Canis lupus familiaris: one gene and its partners. The protein of the gene in region 4 interacts with the protein of the main gene of each other region in a biochemical or structural test. Links are inferred from orthologs where the notes say so. Each region holds a gene or a part of one and is shown on either strand. Other genes may lie near its edges.

Region 1 (5,450 bases), on a different chromosome or scaffold from region 4:
CCCTGGGGTGCCCAAGGCAGCAGATGGCCCAGGGGTCAGAAGCCTGGGAAGCCTGGCAAGCCCGGCTGTCCTGTCCACCATGGGCTAATGAGAGCACCCAGCTCCCGGGTGAGGCCCAGAGCAGAGCTGGCACAGCTTGGCAGACCCAGGTAAGGCTCCCCTCCCCCAGGACTTCCCCTCCCCTCCTCCCTCCAGGGCTCCCTCCTCCCCTCTCTCCAGAGCTGTTCCAAGGCAGGAAGGTGAAAACCTGCTCCCAAGCCAGGGCTGAACCTTTGGCCTGGAGCCTGTTGGCAGAATGCAGGCCCCCAGTGGAGGGCACTTGAGCAGCCTGGAGGAGCACCCCCCAGCCTGAGGCCTTCAGTCCTTCCCCAAGAGTAGACAGGGATGTAGTGGGTAGAGCCCTGAGTCTATGAGCTGGGACGGGAGGATAGGGATGGACTGCAGCCATCCTCTTCCTTGTAGGGATAATGTGCTCCTCCAGGCTGCCAGGCTGCTGTTATATAAACATCTCTGCAGCCTCCAGGCGCCTCAGGTCACGGGCACTGGCCGAGAGAGAAGTCACCCCAGGCTCTGCACTGTGCAGCCAGCTTCTGGAAGGAGGCAGACAGCTGTCTTGGCCTGGCCTGGCTGGCCCTCTGGCACTCACAGCATCCCAGCCACCACCAGCGCTCCAGGACAGGTGTGCCAAGAAGAGTGGGCAGGAGTCAGGTGTGAAATCTGCCCACCACCGGGCATCCCACTCTACCTACATCGCAAGTCTCCCTGCAAGGCGACTGCGCTACCAGCCTCTAGGCTCCGCAGTCCTGCAGGTGCTCTGGCCTGCCGCCCTTCACACAGCCAGGTCCCTCTCAGCCTGGCATCACCCACTCCAGAGGGCCGTGGGCATGCGCGGCTGGGTGGTTGTACCTCCTCCCACGGTGCTGACCAACCTTTGTTGGGATGGGGGTGTCTGTCCCCAGGGCCAGGCCATGAACTTTGGTTTCAGCAGGGGCCGTGGCAGGCATCTGGAATGCCCAGAGCTTAACCCCACTTGGCACAGGATGCCCAAATCTGGCATCGTGGCGGAGAAATAAATCATCCGGAAGGAGCACGTGGGAGGGGCCCAGGGCTGCCCTGGGGCTCGCAGAGGGTCTGCTGGACTCGTGTGCTTGCCGGGCATCTGAAAGGGAGGCGCCTGAAGAAGGGGCTGGTCAGCGAGCAAGAGCGTCTGGAGGCGGGTCCCTCCTGGGGGAGTAGTAGCAGCGCAGTCCGTTGGGCAGCCGTTGGCCCCAGGTGGTTTCACTGGGGCACCCAGCGCTCTCCAGAAACAGAGGCCCCGGCGCCGCCATCCCTGGGGGTCAAGTGCCCGGCCTGTCTCCTGGAGGCTCGCCACGGGGACCTGAGCCCCTGGGTCGGGGGCTTCCCTACGGCCGGGGGGGCACGAGTCCTCCCCGAGCTCCAGTCACGGCCCCGGGTCCCCCACAGGCCTTGGCCGCTCCTCCAGCTCCTCAGCCGCGCACGTACCCTTAGGCCCCACTCGCCCCACTCAGCTCGCACCTCCTCGGCTATTGAGATGCAAATCTTTGTCAATTGTCGCCGAGCGCGGCGTAAGTCAGAGGCGGATCCTTCCGCAGTCCTGAACCAAACTTTTTGCCGCTGAAAACTTTCGAACAAGAAGTAGTCCCTAGGTCCGACCTCCGACGCCCCTTCGCCCCGCCGCGGCCCCCGGCCCCCGGGGGCCCGGGCGTCCGAGGCGCGCCCAGCTGCGGGGAGACGCGGGGAGGTCGCGGGGCACGCAGGGGCGCAGCCGGCGAGGGCGAGGGCGAGGGGTGCGGAGGGATCGGCAGGGCGGGCCCGAGGGGCGGGGCCGGAGGGGGGGCGGAGCGCACCGCGGCCTGCGCCTCACTAGTGCCTCGGCCGCGGGAGGGAGCGCAGGGGCGCGGGGCGCGGGCACGGGCGCGAGCGCAGCGGAGGAACGAGCCGGGGCGCGAGCCGGGCCCGAGGCCGCGAGGGCCCCGCGTCGCCCGCCCGCCCGCCCGCCCGCCGGGAAGCCGGGAGCCGCCGCCGCCGCCGCCGCCGCCGCCGCCGCCGCCGCCGCCGCCACCGCCGCTCGTGGGACCGTCCGGCGCGCCCCGTGCGCGGCAGCCCCGCTGTCCCGGCTCGGGAGGCCGCCGCGGGCAGCGGGCAGCGGGCGGGCAGGCATGCCGCCGCTCCTGCCTCCCCTGCTCTGCCTGGCGCTGCTGCCCGCGCTCGCCGCACGAGGTAGGCGCCCGCCCGCGAGCCCGCAACTTTCTGCGCCCTCCGGAAACTTTGGCGGCGCCTACGCGCGCGCCCCGGCCGGCCCGGAGCCGGCGGCAGGGGCGGGAGAGGGGCGCGGGGCGACCCCGGGCGCAGGAGAAGGACCGACGGGAAGGGCTCGCGCCGCCCGCGCGCGGAGCCGGTGTGAAGGAAGCCGGGCGCGGGGCGCTCGGAGCGCCTGGGACCCCGGCGGGCCCAGCCCTGGGCTCGCCCTCCGTCAGCCACGCGTGGGGCTTGCCGCCGGGGCAGGCGGGCTGGCTGCCTACTCCTTTTCGATTTGAATCGAGTCGGTTTTGGTTTCCTGTTGCTTTGGGGACCATTTATCTTTTTCGTCGCCTCTGGCCCGCGCCGGGGGCGGATGCCGGGCGCGGATGCCGGGCGCGGAGCGTGGGGTCCAGGCGCGGCGCTGCCCTTACGGAGCAATGCGGGGCGGGTGGGGCCGGGCGGCCTCAGCGCTCGGGAGGGCTGGCGAGGGAAGGACGCAGCACCCCCTTCCCACGTCCGATCGCCACCCCCGTCCCCGCTCCCATGCAGCTTGCCGGTGGGGGGGGGGGTGCGGGGTGCGGAACACCCAGCCCCTACCGGCCTGACTTTCACTTTGCGGAGTTCAAGTTTAGAAATGTAGCGAGGGCTGAGAGGCCGTGGAGAAGGAACGCTTCTCTCTCCACTTCACATCAGGGATCCGGTGGTGACTGAGTCCTCTCTTCCCCTGAAAGTTCGTGGGGAGAATTAGCTCCCTGCTTCCAGAAGGTGGGGTTCCAAGTCACATCCCGTACCTGCACCCCCCCCCCCAAGGGGCTTAATTCACAGGTCGCTGGTACCACGGGGAGGGAACGACTGGATTAATCCCTTCTTGGGAATGGGGTCGAATTCTTTCCAAATAGGGCATCTCCATCCTCCTCCCCTGGGTGTATCTGGGGGTGACCGACGCAGAGCAGGTATTGGGTGTCCTGGAGGCGGCTCCGGGTCCCCGAGGTGCAGCCCCACTGCCCCAGGAGGCGGCCCTGTTGACAATGGGCTGCTCTGATTCCGAGGCTGGCGCTTTTTCGGCGGGCGGGGCGTTGAGCTTTGCAGCTGTCGCCTTTTCCCACGAGCTGGGGTGGGGGGCAGTGTGGCCACCCCACCCCTCAGCACCGCCCCCTCCCAGAACATGTTTGAACTGCAAGACAATCTTGGTGGCTGGATAGGGGCCCCAGCCCAGTTGGGCTCCCCGTTGAAGATGGGTTGGGGGTGCAGAGTTTGGAAGAGTGGCCCAGGGACATCTCAGATTCCCTTCATTGTTGTCCAGATGGCATTTCAGGCCTCCTTGGCCCATATGGAGCATGACCTGTCCACCTGCCACCCTGCCAACCTGTTGCCCTCCCCCCCCCCGCCCCGTTTCTGACTACAGAACTCTGGGCAGAATGTGGAAGCCCTTTGGGGTCCCCATTTGGGAGGGTTCCTGAGGTCCCCTGCCCCCAGCAACCCCGTGATGAGGCAGAGCTGTCTAGGTGAGGGGCTGCTGTACCCCTTGGGGTGGGCCTTTCCCTGGGCTGAGGGCCCTTGTGCCACCCAGGCTGATCTCTTGCCTCGCCCCTCCCAGGTCTGCGATGTTCCCAGCCCAGTGAGAGCTGCTTGAATGGCGGGAAGTGTGAAGTGTTCCTCAACGGCACAGAAGCCTGTGTGTGAGTACGCACCCCTGCGCCCCTGTGGGGACCTGTTGCTTTTGTCGGGAGCAGAGCCCCTGCCTTCTGCAGCAGGGGCCAGCAGGGACAGAACACTAGGCCATTGTCTTCTGGAGATGGCCCAGAAGGCTGGGCGCGGTCACGTGCTACTTTTATTGGACAAAGTCTGGCAATTACTTAATCACCAGCAATTATGCTGCGTGTGGAGCTGGTCTGGCCGCTGGAGGTTCGAGCACGCCTTGTGCACCACCTTGGACTCCTGGGGTGCTAGGTGGGGATTCCCAGTACCCCGTTTCTTCCTAAAGTCTCTGAGAAACGACTGCCCTGCCAGGGGAGGCTGTGGACCTTTAGAGAAGCCCTGCCCATAGGGGTGCCTCCCGAAGATCAGCCAGTGCTGACCCTCACAGAAATGGGCTGTTTCAGCCCCACCCCTCTGGGCCCTCTGCGGCCTCTAGCACCCCCTCTCCAACCTCAGGTGAGGTTGGGGAACTCTTCGGGAGCCCATCTCATAGGTTAGGGGTGGGTGGGAGTGTACCTGCCAGAGCTTGGTCTTTGTCTTGGCATCTGTAGCTTCAGCCCTGCTGCCATCCGGCCCATCACCTGCTGGGCTGGTCCGCAGCTGGAGTGGGAATGTGTGTGTCCTGCGGGGGCGCCCCCGCCTCGGGCGGGGAGTCCTGTTAGAGTCCGCACCCTGCCTGCCCATGCACCCTCGCCTGTGTGCCCTGCCTGCCCCTGCGCAGCGGCCTCACCAAAGTTTTTCTGTTGTGGCTGGTGCCCTTCAGCTTGACTTCTTCCTTGATGGGACTATGAGGTGGTGCTTGGTGGCTGGAAAAAGGTCCCCTCCTCCCGCCGGGGCGCAGGGCGGGGGTGGGGGTGGGGGGCACAAAGGAAGCAAGGGCTCCCCAGCCGGTCCTGGGTCCTCCTCAGCGTGCTGCATTCCCACTGCCGAGGGCCCCTTCCCTTGACAACCCTTGGCCCGTGGGCAGGCAGCCCCTCCTTCGCTGCCCCCACCCTCCCCAAACTGAAGCCAATTAAACAGGTCTGTGAGCAGTTTAATAGACAAAGAGGATTGTGTCTTTGTCAGACGCTAATGAATGCACACTACTTTTTTTTTTTTTTTTTTTTTTTTTTGCTTTTTTGGGGCCTTTTTCTTTTCCTCCAGAAGCCTCACCGACGCTTGATGCCCTAAATCTTGTTTCCTTTCATTCAGAGACCGACAGCTGGGATTCAGGGGAAGCGCAGCGGCTATTGTTGGGAGGCGGATTAATGCCGTGTGATTAATTATGCGTGGCTTCCCAGAATGCACGACTCCCTTCCCGCCGGCCCTGTGCCTGCTCTGGCTGCCCGCTCACCCATGGGGCGTGGGGGGGGTCTCTGTACTTCTGCCGAGCGCTTTGGGAAGGCAGGAGGGGTGCTGTGCTGGGGAGGGTGGGAGTGGTCTCCTATCTCTGCCACCGAGGAGGAGCAGGGACAGCCCAGCCCCAGGGGACACTGGGGTGTCTGGGGGCT
Region 2 (4,789 bases), on a different chromosome or scaffold from region 4:
CTTGAAATCAGATTTCCTGACAAACTAGTCTAGCACTTAAATTTAGTTTTACAGCTTCATCTTTTAAAGATCTCAAGTTATGTTTCTTTAGCATTACATTTTTTTTTCAAAGATTAACAAGAAACCCAAGAGATACTTCTGTAGGACACTGGCTCTACCTTATAAATAAGACTTATATACCCAAATCAAATTTTGTCACATATTTCTTTCATTTTCTAATAGTGTCTTAAATTTTAGCCAACTGTAAGAGGTCAAAATCAGAACTGTTTACCCTTAGATATGACGAAATAAGATAAAATGGTTCTGTAAGTTACATCACACAACTTCTAATTTTTCCCTCTCATGCCAGCATATTTTAGGCTGATCCAAATCTATGGTATGTGAATTTTCTTTTCCCTGAGGATTAAATCACATTAACTAAGACCTGCTATTTCTAAACTCCTTATACCTTCGACTGGTTGAAGAGCCTTTGGTCATACTGAACTTCATTGGACGTCCGCGGATTGGGCACACCAAGAGCAATGACTTCACTGATATCTCGATTTTCATTTCTCTGTAGTTTTGACCTGTTTCAAAATACAATATCACTAACTGAAAACTCTTCACAGACAAGCCGAATTTCAATTTAAATACAACCAATCTTAGAAGCAAAGTTAATGAGTATGTCCTGTTCATATCTTGTGAACATATATTCCTTGATAATGCATAATCAGGCTGGTAGTCCTTACAGCATCTCAGAGACAGAATTATTAGAAGAGGTGGGGTTTTACAATCAGGCCTTCCTGTTAGCTGAAAAGAACTGTCAAGAGACTCACTCTTGACATGAAGTTTTTAATATAAGCAATCACCTTACAGAAAGAGCATGCTGAGATATGAAATTGCTACGGTCTGTATTTGCTATTACATGATGGTTGCGGGGGGAGGGAATGGATGCAAATTAGACGTATATGAATCACTTTCAATAAGCCAAATTCTGTTCTTTACCTAAACCACATTTAGTAATTTTACCCTATTAGAATTTTGAGGAAAACATGTCAATGACTGAATTACTCAGTATGATTTTCAATATTCAGATTATCTTAATTCCCCTGCTGTTTCAGTATGTATGCAATCTACATCGCAGTGAAACCATGGTAACTGTCATCATTTATTTTACCAGAAACCCAGGTCTTAAAATATTTTCTATAGACGACCAGATTTTCATCCAATCACAAATTTACAGCTTTTCTACATTATCAATTCTCATAACCACTTTACTAGTTTTAAGGGCCCAATTTATCTACAGAGCCATTTTGACTTTTACAGCTTAGGAATTTCAGACCATTAGTATCTTTAATTGTGCACTTTCACATTTCATTCCTCTCTCTTCTACACTGCACATTTACCTACAATTCTAAATTCAGATTTTCTGCTTCTCCATGGTTTCACTTATCCAGGGAGATGAGCTATGCCATTAAAAAACAATACTGGCAGGAATCTTCTTTTTCAATGTTTAAGACATAACTTGAAAAAATGGATTGTATCAGCCACCAAAGTGATGAGAAAGAAAATGTTTTATATTTGCATTTAACACTCACTCAGAATTCAGCGCTCAGCCTTTGGTGAAGCATAAACTTTACCAATCCCTACTTTAGTGTGAGTCCCCATACATGTATTTTGTTTGTTCCAAGCAGGCCTGTACTTATTAGCAGTGCTTTGTTAATATTCTCAAATAATTTTATAAGCTTTGTCTTTCTGAATTTTAAGAGAACTACTTATGAGAAGAGGCCAATTCTCACTTCTCACAAAACCTGCTCTCCTCCTCCACTGTACTTGGGACAGCCCTCTGCATATAAGAGGATCTCAATGCAGGTACAGAAGCTTCTTCCCTGTCTAGAGGAATACGCACATAATCAGTTTGTCCTACCACTTGAAATAGGAAAGAACAGACCAGAACAAGCCTACCTACTGCCTTCTTTTCATAAACAAGATCTGAATTCCCTTTTCTATATTCCTATCATTCGCAATCTAGCTGACTCTACAAGGTGATGAGAAAGGATTTCTTCCAGGGAGTTAATTCTTCTGCTAAGAAAAAATAAGTAGTTTAGTGTAGGAAAGTAAGTGCTGATTTAGTAGATTATCAAATTAAGAGAGGAAAGGGAGAGAAGCAAAACTGGTCCCAGTGGACTAAACCTCTTCTCAAAAGGATTCACAGAGCCACTCCTCACAATTTGTATTTATCTCAAATAGCACCTACCGCTTATCAGGAGCTGCCCTGGAAAGATTCCGGTCGTGTTGTCTCTCTTTTCGCCTGTCATGCCGGATTTCATCCCTCTCACGTGCCTCCCCATCCTCTGTGTAAACAGAGTTGAAAATTCCTCATCACTATATTACGCATTAATATTTAGAATGAAAATATTCTTTAACCATGACCGATAATTCCATAAATTTCTTTATAGTCACATTCAGCCCTTTTAACTCACTTGCAATTAACTTAAATCCAACAGTATTGGTTTAATTTTTGAATATGAATTCCAGAATCATGCATGCAGCTCAAATGTTTAGAGGTAAAGTATACTGATGACTTTGACTTTGCAATGCATCAAAACTGTAAGGTGGATAGAGAGATTAGCAGATAGGTGATAAAATAAATTTAACAATGTCAATTGTTTTTTTGTTTTTTTAAGATTTTATTTATTCATGACAGAGAGAAAGAGAGAGGCAGAGGCACAGGCAGAGGGAGAAACAGGCTCCATGCAGGGAGTCCGATGTGGGACTCATCCTGGGACTCCAGGATCACACCCTGGGCTGAAGGTAGATGCCCAACTGCTGAGCTACTCAGGCATCCCTAGCAATGTCAATTGTTAAAAGAAAAGTTAATCTAGGTGGTGGAATCTAGTAGAATCTGGGTGGTGGTGGAGATAGAAAGGTGTTCCTTGTATAATTTTTTCAACTTTTTGGTGTGTAATGGTCATATTAAAATTTCAGGAAAAAATTATGTGTAAATTTACCCTTATATTTTCAAAGACCAAATGAATAAAGAACCTTTTGCTGGTGGTACACAGGGACTGGTTACATCTTGATCTCTACCTATTGTGTTTATGTCTATCTTCATTTTCTCTTCTCTCTCCAATCTGAAGGGACACAGCTTTGGAGCCAGCTTGTCTGGATTCAAATCCTGTTCCTATGACAGATTAGCCATGTGACCTTGTGCAGGTTACCCAACCACTCTGAGCCTTAGTCTCCTCTGAAAAACTGACAATCCTAGAACCACTGTGAGGGGTTACTAGAGGGATTACATAAGGCAATACATGTAAAGTGCTCAGAGTGGTGTCTTTCATAATAAGTACTCAATAAACATTAGTTCTTTTTACTATCTGGCAACACATTTTTCAGAATTTTACCTAATTCCTCAAGAGCCATTCTGTATTTTTGTTTTTTTTTTTTTCTTACCAGTGTAGAGACTAAGATATAGGGAAATCTTACTTCTAATTACCATCAGTGGCTAAGTGTATGTACAATAGGCAGGTTTTTATAACTTGCCTCATTAAGTCATTTATGTATGATTCAAGGATATGGATCACTACTTCTAATCCTGGTTACCTCCCTATAGCTGAACTCTGGACTCCTCTAACCAAATGCCTACTTGATACCTCCACCTTAAACCTAACTAAACTCCTAATCTTTTCCTCCCAAACTGCTTCCCCTGCAATCTTCCCACTATTAGTAAATAGCAACTTAATGCCTCCTAATTGCTCATGTCAAAAGTCCTGGAGTTAAAAAAGAAAGTTCTGGAGTCATCCTTGACTCTTTTTTTTCATACCTCTACCTAATCCATAAGCAAATTTTGTCAGCTCTCCCTGCAAAATACATCTGTATTTGGCAGTGTTTTCCCTGCCTCTCTTATTATCATCTCTCATCTGGATTACTGCACTAGCCCTCCAAATGACTTCCCTACTCCCCCACATGCCCACTTCACAGCCTGCTCATGTATGGTAGATCATGTTGTTCTGCTTAACTCTTCAACTTCTTCCCTTGTTATTTGAAATAAAAGCCACCTCCTTAAATGGCTAAAAGACCACACATGATCTGGCTACTACCTTTCCTATTTACTCTATTTTGATACCTTGTCTCCTACTACTTAGCTTTCTTGCTCCAATCTGGCTGTACTGGCCTCCCTGCTTTTCCTTTAACATACCAAGAGTACTCCCAACTCAGGGCCCTTGCACTTGCTGTTCCTTCTATCTGGGATGCTCTTCAAAACCCTAGATATCTATAAGGCTCAATTCCTTACTTCAATTTTTGTGCTAATGTTACCATCTCAGAAGTAAGGTTCATCTTGACCCTCTCCTGGCACTTTTGTCCCTTTTTCTTGTTTTATTTGTCTCCATAGCAATTATTACTATACTATTATTATTAATCATCTAGTAATGATAATTAACTTTTTTGGTCTCTCTACACTCACTAGAATGTTTATTGCCATACCTCCAACAACAGAAATCCTTATGTCTAGAAGAGAACCTTGGGCAGTTCCGGTGGCTCAGCGGTTTAGCGCCACCTTTGGCCCAGGGCCTGATCCTGGAGACCTGGGATCGAGTCCCATGTCGGGGACCCTGCATGGAGCCTGCTTCTCCTTCTGCCTGTGTCTCTGCCTCCCTCCCTCCCTCCCTCCCTCTCTCTCTCTCTCTCTCCCCCTCTATGGAGCCTACTTCTTCCTCTGCCTGTGTCTCTGCCTCTCTCTCTGTCTCTCATGAATAAATAAATAAATAAATAAAATCTTAAAAAAAAAAAAAAAGAGAACCTTATATAT
Region 3 (4,789 bases), on a different chromosome or scaffold from region 4:
ACTTCTGATTTTTGCCTTTCTGCTTTCAGATTAGAATCTGCAAAACGCCTCTTCCTTGCTTCCAGCTTCTCCAGATCTGCTGCACTGACCCCGTCAGCAGTCTGCTCTGGTTTTAGGTGCTTCCTGGGCTTAGGCCTACCTTCCTTATCAACCACTTCTATGTGGCTTGACAGTCCCTTTTCCTTTGGCACTTTCATTCGAATAGATTCCAGTTTAGACAAGTCAGATTTTGCAGGTTCCGTTTGACAGACCTGAAGTTTCTGATCTAGGACAGAAGACTTGGCAGTGTCATTATCAAGCTTGGCTTTCAGCTTTTCCAAAGGAGTGTGGTCAATAACTTTCCCCTCTTTCTCTTTCACTCGAGTCAAAACCACACAGGGCATAAGCTCCAGACGGTTTTTTGCTATTCCTTCTTTGTCAGCTTTCTCTCTGCTCAGTTTATTAGAACTCCGTGATTTTTCAGGGCTCTGTTCTCGCTCATTTTCTTGGTCTGTCTCTGAAGACTGAGAACTAGGGGAATGAACTTTTCCTTTTCGTTTCTGCTTTTCAGTTTTATCCTTTTCTACTTTTTCCTTCCTTATTAAGCGTCTTTCTCTTTCCACTCTCTCAGGATCAAAAGTCCTTTCTTTATCTGTCTTTTCATTTTTTGTATAGCGTTCCAAACGAGATTTGTCAAGTTTATCATATCTTGGAGGAGAAAGTGAGCTACAGCTCCCACTCCGGTCCGAGGACCGGCTATAAATCCTCCTTTCAGAATCACTTGGCAACCGCTCAGACTGTGAGGGAGATGCTCCAGGACTCTGTGGGCGTCGCAAGTGCACTGGGCTCTGACTGCGCTCAATTGGCCTCCTCTCATGGTCTCTGTCCCGATCAGACTCAAACCTTTCACGTTCTCTCTCTCGTTCCCTTTGCCTGTAACTGTACTCCCGAATATCTTGTTCATAAGGATCGTTTCTGTAATCCCTATATTCCCGAGGATCGTCATAGTATCGTGATTCATAGTAGTCTCCTTGGTAAGTTTCCCATTCTGAATAAAATTCTCTCCCTCGGGCTGGATAGTCCCGTCTGGAGTCCTCAGGATATGTGCCTGGAGTACGAACATTCTCATAATATGTACGATCTTGGCTATAGTCATAAGATCCCCTTCGTTCCTCTCTATGAAATATGAAAAAGAATGTATTAGTTGTTTTGTTTCCTTGTCACTGACATATTAAACCACACACATGAGATTAACGAAGTCCTGCTTCTAAAAATCTTGGGTGTCTGAGTGGCTCAGTCGGTTAAGCATCTGCCTTGGGCTCAGGTCATGATCTCAGGGTCCTGGGATCGAGCAGGGAGCCTACTTTTCCCTCTACCTCTGACCCCTCCCCTGTTCATGCTCTCGTGTTCCTATGAAATAAATAAATAAAATCTTTAAAAATAAATAAAAGTAAAATAAAACTCTTTGCCATTGTTTACTCATTAGATGTGGACTGTCCAATACTATCCGTAGCCACAACCCACATGTGGCTATTGAGAACTTGAAATTTGAGATGTGAATACAGAATACACACTGGACTTGGTAGATTTAATTTTAAAAAAAGAAATACTTTAATATATTTAGATTGGTTATATGCTGAAATAACATTTTAGACATACTGAGTTAAATAAAATTAATTTTACCTTTTCACTTTTTTACTGTGTCTACTAGGATATTCACTTATTTATTTATTCATTTTTTTATAATTTACTCATTCGTTCATTCAGATAGAGAAAGAGACAGAGACACAGGCAGAGGGAGAAGCAGGCTCCATGCAGGGGGCCCGACATGGGACTCGATCCTGGGTCTCCAGGATCACACCCTGGGCTGCAGGCGGCGCTAAACCACTATGCTACCGGGGCTGCCCTAGGATATTTAAAACCACAAATTTAGTTTGCATTATGTTTCTACTGGACAGCACTTCAGCCCTTCTTTATTCTTTAGGTTGAAGTATCATGACTTATAATAAGCACTAGTATTAAACGGTATCATATCCCCACATTCGTAAGTCTTTCATAATTACTTTTCTGCCAAAAGATTTTTTACCACAACTTGGGAAACAAATGTATTATTGGGAAAGAGAATAATCTAACTGAAATCCTCCTACCTACATGACCCATATAACATTGGTAACACCTCTATCACAATTCAAAAAAAATGTTGGAAGTCAGTCTCCCTTATAAAATGGTGGTAAACTTTCCTCATAAGGCTCTTAAGAAGATTATATAAGGTAACAGTTTTAAGAACTTTCCTGACAAAATGCAAGGCACATACTTGGCCTTTAGTAATGTTACTTTTCCCCAACCACCAACTGAACACAGGCTTTGTGTGAGATTCCTCAATTGTAAAGGAATTCAGCATGGTTTTCTTTGATAGTGACCTATCCAGGGCATTCAAGATAGGATTTAATTTACACACAAGAACATGTATGAGGGGGGATTCCTGGGTGGCTCAGTGGTTTAGCACCTGCCTTTGACCCAGGGCGTGATCCTGGAGCCCCAGGATCAAGTCCCACATCAGGCTCCCTGCATGGAACCTGCTTCTCCCTCTGCCTGTGTCTCTGCCTCTCTTTCTCTCTCTAGTGTCTCTCATTAATAAATAAAAAATATTTTAAAAAAAGAACATGTATGAGGGATAAAATGAAATTTACCTGTAACAAAGGACAATTCTTTCACTCTCATTCATTGTCCATTTTTGTTCCCTCAAGCAGGTCATACATTCTACACAGTACTGCCTTTTTTATTTTTATTTTATTTTTATTGGAGTTCAATTTGCCAAACAGTACTACCTTTAGTGGCTTACTAAAACATAAACAAATCTAGAACTTAAGCCCCTAAAGGAATGAGGTGGTTTTTTTGTTTTGTTTTGTTTTGTTTTGGTCTTCTTGTAACGGTCTCAGAGGAAGCACTCAAGTACCTGTTGAAAGAATGAATCTTAGGAAAATATGTCAGGGGTGCCTGGTAGCTCAGTTAAGTCTCTGCATTCAGGTTAGGTCATGATCTCAGGGTCCTGAGACTGAGCCCCGCAACGGGCTCCATGCTCAGTAGGGAGCTCCTCCTTCTTCTCCCTCTGTCTCCCACCTGCTCATGCTCTCTCTCTCTCAAATAAATAAAGTCAGAGGATGACAGACTCCTAACTCTGGGAAACGAACAAGGGGTGGTGGAAGGGGAGGCGGGCAGGGGGATGGGTGACTGGGTGACGGGCACTGAGTGGGGCACTTGATGGGATGAGCACTGGGTGTTATGCTATATGTTGGCAAAGCAAACTCCAATAAAAAAATATACCAGGGACCCTCGGTGGCTCAGCGGTTAAAGCGCCTGCCTTCGTCTCAGGGAGTGATCCTGGAGTCCTGGGATTGAGTCCCATTCAGGCTCCCTGCATGGAGCCTGCTTCTCCCTCTGCCTGTGTCTCTGCCTCTCTCAATCTCTCTCTGTGTTTCTTATGAATAAATAAATAAAATCTTAAAAAAAAAAAAAAAATATATATATATACCAAAAAAATTTAATAAATAAATAAGGAAAAGAAAAATGGAAGGAAGGAAGGAAGGAAGGAAGGAAGGAAGGAAGGAAGGAAGGAAGGAGAAAGGAAAGGAAAGGAAAGGAAAGGAAAGGAAAGGAGAAAGGAAAGGAGAAAGGAAAGGAATAAAGAAGAAAAATAAATATGTCAAAGCTACTACTGGGTGATGTTCTAACTCTCTCTCTACAGCAAATGAAGCATCTAAGGTTTAACATTCAAACACTGGAAGCATCAATAACACACTGTTATATGTATTTATACGGAATTTCTCAGTTTAGAGAGAATATTTTATGAGAATATCTATATTATTTTGTTTAATTGGATTCAAGATGATCTTTCTAGAGTTCCACAGGAATCAGATTCTTTGCCTAAATAATGGCCAGCCACCTTAAAATAAATGTTTCAAAGCATGGAACTTGGCTAATTCATTGCCACCATAAATACAAATTCCAAGGAAGCAACTTTTCATACATAAAGGTAAACATACTGTATGCTTTCCAATATAAATTAAGACATCTAGAATGGTCACCGGTTCACTTCCCACATTGAAAGTAGGCTTGGGGCAACTGGGTGGCTCAGTTGGTTAAACATCTGCCCTCAGCTCAGGTCATAATCCCAGGATCCTGGGATCGAGTTCCACATGGGGAATCCCTGCTCAGTGGGGAGCCTGCTTCTCCCTCTCCCTCTGCCTGCTGCTCCCTGCTTGTGCTGTCAAATAAATAAAATCTTAAAAAAAAAAAAAAAGATATTTAACAGTAAGCTTAAAGTCATACTGTAAAAAGAGTCAAGGTTATGTTTTAGATTAATCAAACTAAAACTATGCCCCCAAATATGAAAAAGTTACATAAATCAAAGGTATATGCATAAACATTAGTGCTAGAGCTCTGTTCAGTTTAATAAATACTGATTCTGCACATATTTTGGTGGGCCCTCTGACTACCAAAAGAAATGAGTGTTCCTGTTCCCAAAGAATGCAACTCAAGCAGGATAGACAGTACAACTGCACACTGGTACCATGGACAAAAGGGTCTCCAAAGAACCTAGAAAGGACAAGTTTTGAGATAACTATTCACATGACTACACAATACCTCAACTCCTTGGGACACCTGGGTGGCTCAGCAGTTGAGCTTCAGCCTTCAGCTCAGGGCGTGATCCCAGGATCCAGGATCAAGTCCTGCATTAGGGGCACCTAGGTAGCTCAGTGATTTGGTGCCTTTGGCCCAGAGCATGATCCTGGAGTCCCAGGATCAAATC
Region 4 (4,789 bases):
GCCAGCCCCCATCCCTATTGCCAACTACGATAAGGCAAACACTAAGATAGTCAGTGAAGATTTACTGAATGAGGAAATAGCTTCTTTTGTATTATTTTAAAGGAGAGTCATATGATCGTTGAGAACAAACCATTTTTCGAATTTTAATATTAAGGGAAAAAATAATAGTTAAATGCTAACTCAGTAAGAACTATTTTTGAATACTAAAGGTATAGACTGAAATGATTAGTTTCTAATAAAATACAATTAATAAAACTAATAAATAAATTCCATTTCCTAACAAATTAAACCCCTAAAAGTCTGAGTAAAGCTAATTGTGGCTATTTTTGTCAATAGTGTAGTTTTGTTCCACAGAGAAGCTAGACATTTACAATCTTTACAACCCACGTAAATACTTCTAAGAATTTCTCTCTTTGCTTCCATATAAGACTGAGAGTAAAATATTACTGAACTGTGTATTTTCACTGTTTATTGAGTCTCATATACCCGTCAGACACATGAGAGAGTAGGCTTTTCAATTATTATTGGCTTCCAATGGAACTTTTTTCACAGCCTGCTAAAACTGCCCCCAAGCTGAGGAAGCTTGCCGCGTGCCACTTTTAGATGTCCACAAGCTCATTACTAGACCATAGCTATTTGAGAACTTTATCTCTGATGGGTGAGGCTGTGTGTATCTGTGGGAAGGTGTTCAGAATATTGCTACCAAAAGCCATAAAAAGAAAAAAAAATCACCACCACAAAAACAAATAAGAAAACCACATGCTGCCATGGTGCCTTTTAGGAGAACCAACACAGTTTTAATTTACCTTTCCTTCCAAGTTCAGCTGCTGCATTTCTTGGTCACTATTTCCTATTCCAATAAATGCACATGGTTGAGACTCTTGTTCAGAACAACCATCCCGTTCCATTTGTTCTTTTTTTTTCTTCCATCCACTGCCCATAAGATACACACAAGGAGGAGGGCAAAAAAACCTGAAACAGTGGGGGAAACACACACACACACACACATACACACACACACACACCACACACAAAAAAATGCAATTAGATTCAAGAAAAATATTTCCTTTCCTTGAACATATGAATACAAAATTATATTGAACTGCATAAGTAACCTCCTAACGAAACATTTTGGTGAAGCCTTTTGAAATGCAAATAGTCATGTCCAGAGCACAGAAATCAAGGCTTCCACAAAACTACATTTGTTCAGAGCAGGTTCATCTATATTGGAATCATGCAATCAATTACATTAAATACTTTTTGGAGCAGGGAGTCTCCCTTTAATTTTCATAGAGCTCAGAATTCTGAACTATTGGAATTCAGCAAATCCAATGAAGTCTAAAAGGTTACAGAAGATGATACACCACTGCGGAATCTGCAATTATTAATTAAGGTCTACTCAAAAATGATATATTATTAATCAAGGACACTATTGTTAGGGCTAATACACTTAACTATATTTGGTAATTAACCTGGAAAACAGAGTAAGAGCAGCATCCTAAGTAGAAGTTTTCAAAATATTAATAAAAGTAGAAAAATTAAAAACAAAGTGAATGACTGGATTACTATGTTTTCTGTATGTTCCACCCTGAACACCTGGTGCAAGTGGATGACTGAAAGAACAATGACATTGTACCCTTTCAACTCACAGATTACCAACGGATTTGGTTTGCTAGCTGCCAAAAAACCTGCCTTCAAAAATTCTTCCCACCTAGAATAACTTCCTTATATCGTTGACCCTTGAACACTGTGGGGGTTAGGGGTGCCAGCTTTCTATGCAGCAAAAAAAAAAAAATCCATGCCTAACTTCTGACTCCCCCAAAACAGTAGCCTACAAATAGCCTACTGTTGACCAGGAAGCCTTACCATTAACATAAACAGTCAACACATACTTTGTATCTTATATGTATTATATGCTGTATTCTCACAACAAAGCTAGACAAAAGAAAATATTACTAAGAAAATCTTAAGAAAAATACATTTGCAATATATAGTATTAATTGAAAAAAATATGCACGTAAGTAGACCCTGCAGATTGAACCCATGTAGTTCAAGAGTTAACTGCTATTTTCTCTCTAGCAATTAAAAAATATCTATTTCAAAGCCTAGCTCAAGCCCCTATTTTATAGCTCAGATCATCAATCCGGTCCTTACACAGGGTATAATTTGCTTTTGCTCAATTATACATATTGGCTTGTGCATACTTTAAAACGTTTACACCATGTCTCATCAACGGGTCTGAAAACCAAATACCTACTCAAATAGGAGCTAAGTAAACTCAAATAGTAGCCAGGTAACTAATTTAGTGGGTGAACCAGGCTACAATAAATAAGTAGGAATATCCTTTAATAACACAAAGAAGTAGGTTCCCTCCTTTCTTTCTTGAAAACACACAGTCCTGATGGTAATTCCCACTTTCTGTATAGTTATGAGTAAAGGAAAATTTTTATTTCTTTTAAGCCTACTAGAAGAAAAAGAAGAACTTAAATGCAATGATAAGCAGCTATTGGTGTGTGATTCTGATGATAACGAGGCACAATACAGAATAGCAAGCCTGTGAACACACAGTTTGCTCAACTACTGGCATGTGGACCTAGTGTTGGTCACATCCTCCGATTGTTCAACAGATGCTTGAAATTAAATTTTATATGAAGTTCCTTATAAAATTTAGCCACTAATTTATGTTTTTTAACACTTTGTAGGCCAAGAGCGTGCAGGCTTAAGTGACAAAATGTGTACATGTGCCTATTTGTGTGCATGTATGTAACACACTGACAACACCAGGGTGGATTTGGCCTCAGCCCTTCCTAAAGGTAGTTAGTATCTACTTTTTGTTTGTTTCCCCCCTTAGCACCTACTACAATATTGACTGAACTGAATCAAAACTATGTAACAACTACTTTTCACTCAACTCTAAAGACTACTTTAGGAGCAATTTATATTAATTTATAAGTGAGCTGGGTTTATGTAATATTTATTAATTTACCACATTATTACACCCCTAGTCTGTACCCCTAGTGTATGAGGCACTGGGAATATAGGAGTCAAAAAAAAAAAAAAGACAAAAATTTCTGTCCTGATGGAATTCACACTCTAATAGAAGCGACACACAATTAAAAAACAAAACAAAACAAAAAAAACATAATTGAGTAAGGTAGCTTATATATTCTGTTAGCTGGTGAGAAGTACTGAGGGAAAAAATTAAGCAGATAAGGAGTACTTAAAATGTAGAATACCTACGTAGCCAGGGAAAGCTTCCTTAAAAGGTAAGCCCGAGTTACATCCTAAAGCAATGGGTAGCTGGGGTAGGAGTATTTCAGTTGAGGGAAAATCAAGTGTAAAGGCTCTACAGTAGGAAGGACTAAAACGGACTGTGTCTAAACAAACACAGACCAGTGTGGCTGGAGTTGAGAATAGAAGATGAAGCCTAGATAATGGAGAAGAAGATGAAGTAGGCCCTGGGGGTCAAGCTGAGTGAGGAGGGAAGCCACTGAAGTCTTCTCATATTTATCTAAAGCAATAAAAAGGCAGCAGAGCAGCTTTCATGCCTACATACTCTCACTGTGGCTGTGGATACAGAGGTCACAGCCGAGGTAGTGGGCTCAGCTCCAGGTCACTCCAAGTTTGGAGGGATGCCTGGAGTAGCTGGGCTAGTACTGGAGTTGGCTCAATTCAAGTCTACGGCAGGGATCTTTCTGGCCTCTCACACTGGGAGCCTCCCAATGCTTACCATGGCACAGACTCAAATACCTAGCTGGCACACTATTGGGAGGTTGAGAAGGCATCAATTTAAGAAACTTGCCTCCTATTAGTGTTTTTTTTTTTTTTATTGAACGCTGATATTAAAATTCCTTAGTAAACTGGTATACCAGCTATAAAATTCAGAGTGGTGCTTCAGTAGAGTGTACCAGACATGGGAGTCAAATCTCAACAAGCTATCATAAAAGATATTTTTTATCTCACACCTAAAATAATATAAAGAGGGTTAAAACTGTAGAAGATTGGGTAGTACTGGCTTTCTCAAGAGTATTGTGATAAAAGGGCATAAACAAGGTATAAAATTAGGTTGCCAATCAATTCTTCATCACTTAAAACTCAGACAAGATTCTATATTGAAAGTGCTTTCCAATAAGAAAAATAAAGACTTCACAAATGCCTTGTGTTTTTTGTCAACTCTACAACAATTCAAAAAAGTTGCAATGTAAGAAAACAGCAAATCCAGTACAATCTAAACATCGAGACTATTTCTATATAATGCGTTGATGAAAACCGTATTCTAAACACCCCATATTGTCACCCCCTAGGAAACAGCTAATGAGTCAGGTTTGCATTTCCAAAGACTTCAGTAGTAACATCATTAAATAGAAGATAAGCATACACACAGCAAAAGAACACAGACAAAAGAAAGGAAATTTTTCCATCTCTTTGGGTCTTCCTCAATTTCTTTCAGAAGTGTTCTGTAGTTTTTAGGGTGGAGATCCTTTACCTCTTTGGTTAGGTTTATTCCTAGGTACCTTATGCTTTTGGGTGCAACTGTAAATGGGATTGACTCCTTAATTTCTCTTTCTTCAGTCTCATTGTTAGTGTATAGAAATGTCACTGATTTCTGGGCATTGATTTTGTATCCTGCCACACTGCCGAATTGCTGTATGAGTTCTAGCGATCTTGGGGTGGAGTCTTCCGGGTTTTCTTTTTTTGTTTTTAAAAATTTTTTATTTATTTATTCATGAGAGACACAGATAGAGAGAGAGGCAGAGAGGCAGAAGCAGACTCCATGCAGGGAGCCCAA

The links.
Region 1: the proteins of RBPJ (region 4) and NOTCH1 form a complex in vitro, tested with the Homo sapiens proteins (5 studies listed by BioGRID and IntAct, with this or other methods). The link is inferred for Canis lupus familiaris from reciprocal best matches to the Homo sapiens genes RBPJ and NOTCH1.
Region 2: the proteins of RBPJ (region 4) and SNW1 form a complex in vitro, tested with the Homo sapiens proteins (2 studies listed by BioGRID). The link is inferred for Canis lupus familiaris from reciprocal best matches to the Homo sapiens genes RBPJ and SNW1.
Region 3: the proteins of RBPJ (region 4) and SPEN form a complex in vitro, tested with the Homo sapiens proteins (2 studies listed by BioGRID and IntAct). The link is inferred for Canis lupus familiaris from reciprocal best matches to the Homo sapiens genes RBPJ and SPEN.

The regions. Positions count from the first base shown.
Region 1 is NC_049230.1:48,972,297-48,977,746, forward strand, and holds the start of NOTCH1 (neurogenic locus notch homolog protein 1), read left to right. Parts: upstream 1-2,126; 5' UTR 2,127-2,180; coding exon 2,181-2,241; intron 2,242-3,859; coding exon 3,860-3,941; intron 3,942-5,450. UniProt on the Homo sapiens protein: Functions as a receptor for membrane-bound ligands Jagged-1 (JAG1), Jagged-2 (JAG2) and Delta-1 (DLL1) to regulate cell-fate determination.
Region 2 is NC_049229.1:50,799,118-50,803,906, forward strand, and holds part of SNW1 (SNW domain-containing protein 1), read right to left. Parts: intron 2,334-4,789; coding exon 2,237-2,333; intron 567-2,236; coding exon 449-566; intron 1-448. UniProt on the Homo sapiens protein: Involved in pre-mRNA splicing as component of the spliceosome. As a component of the minor spliceosome, involved in the splicing of U12-type introns in pre-mRNAs.
Region 3 is NC_049223.1:81,177,656-81,182,444, forward strand, and holds part of SPEN (msx2-interacting protein), read right to left. Parts: intron 1,156-4,789; coding exon 1-1,155. UniProt on the Homo sapiens protein: May serve as a nuclear matrix platform that organizes and integrates transcriptional responses. In osteoblasts, supports transcription activation: synergizes with RUNX2 to enhance FGFR2-mediated activation of the osteocalcin FGF-responsive element (OCFRE).
Region 4 is NC_049224.1:84,675,069-84,679,857, forward strand, and holds part of RBPJ (recombining binding protein suppressor of hairless), read right to left. Parts: intron 973-4,789; coding exon 807-972; intron 1-806. UniProt on the Homo sapiens protein: Transcriptional regulator that plays a central role in Notch signaling, a signaling pathway involved in cell-cell communication that regulates a broad spectrum of cell-fate determinations.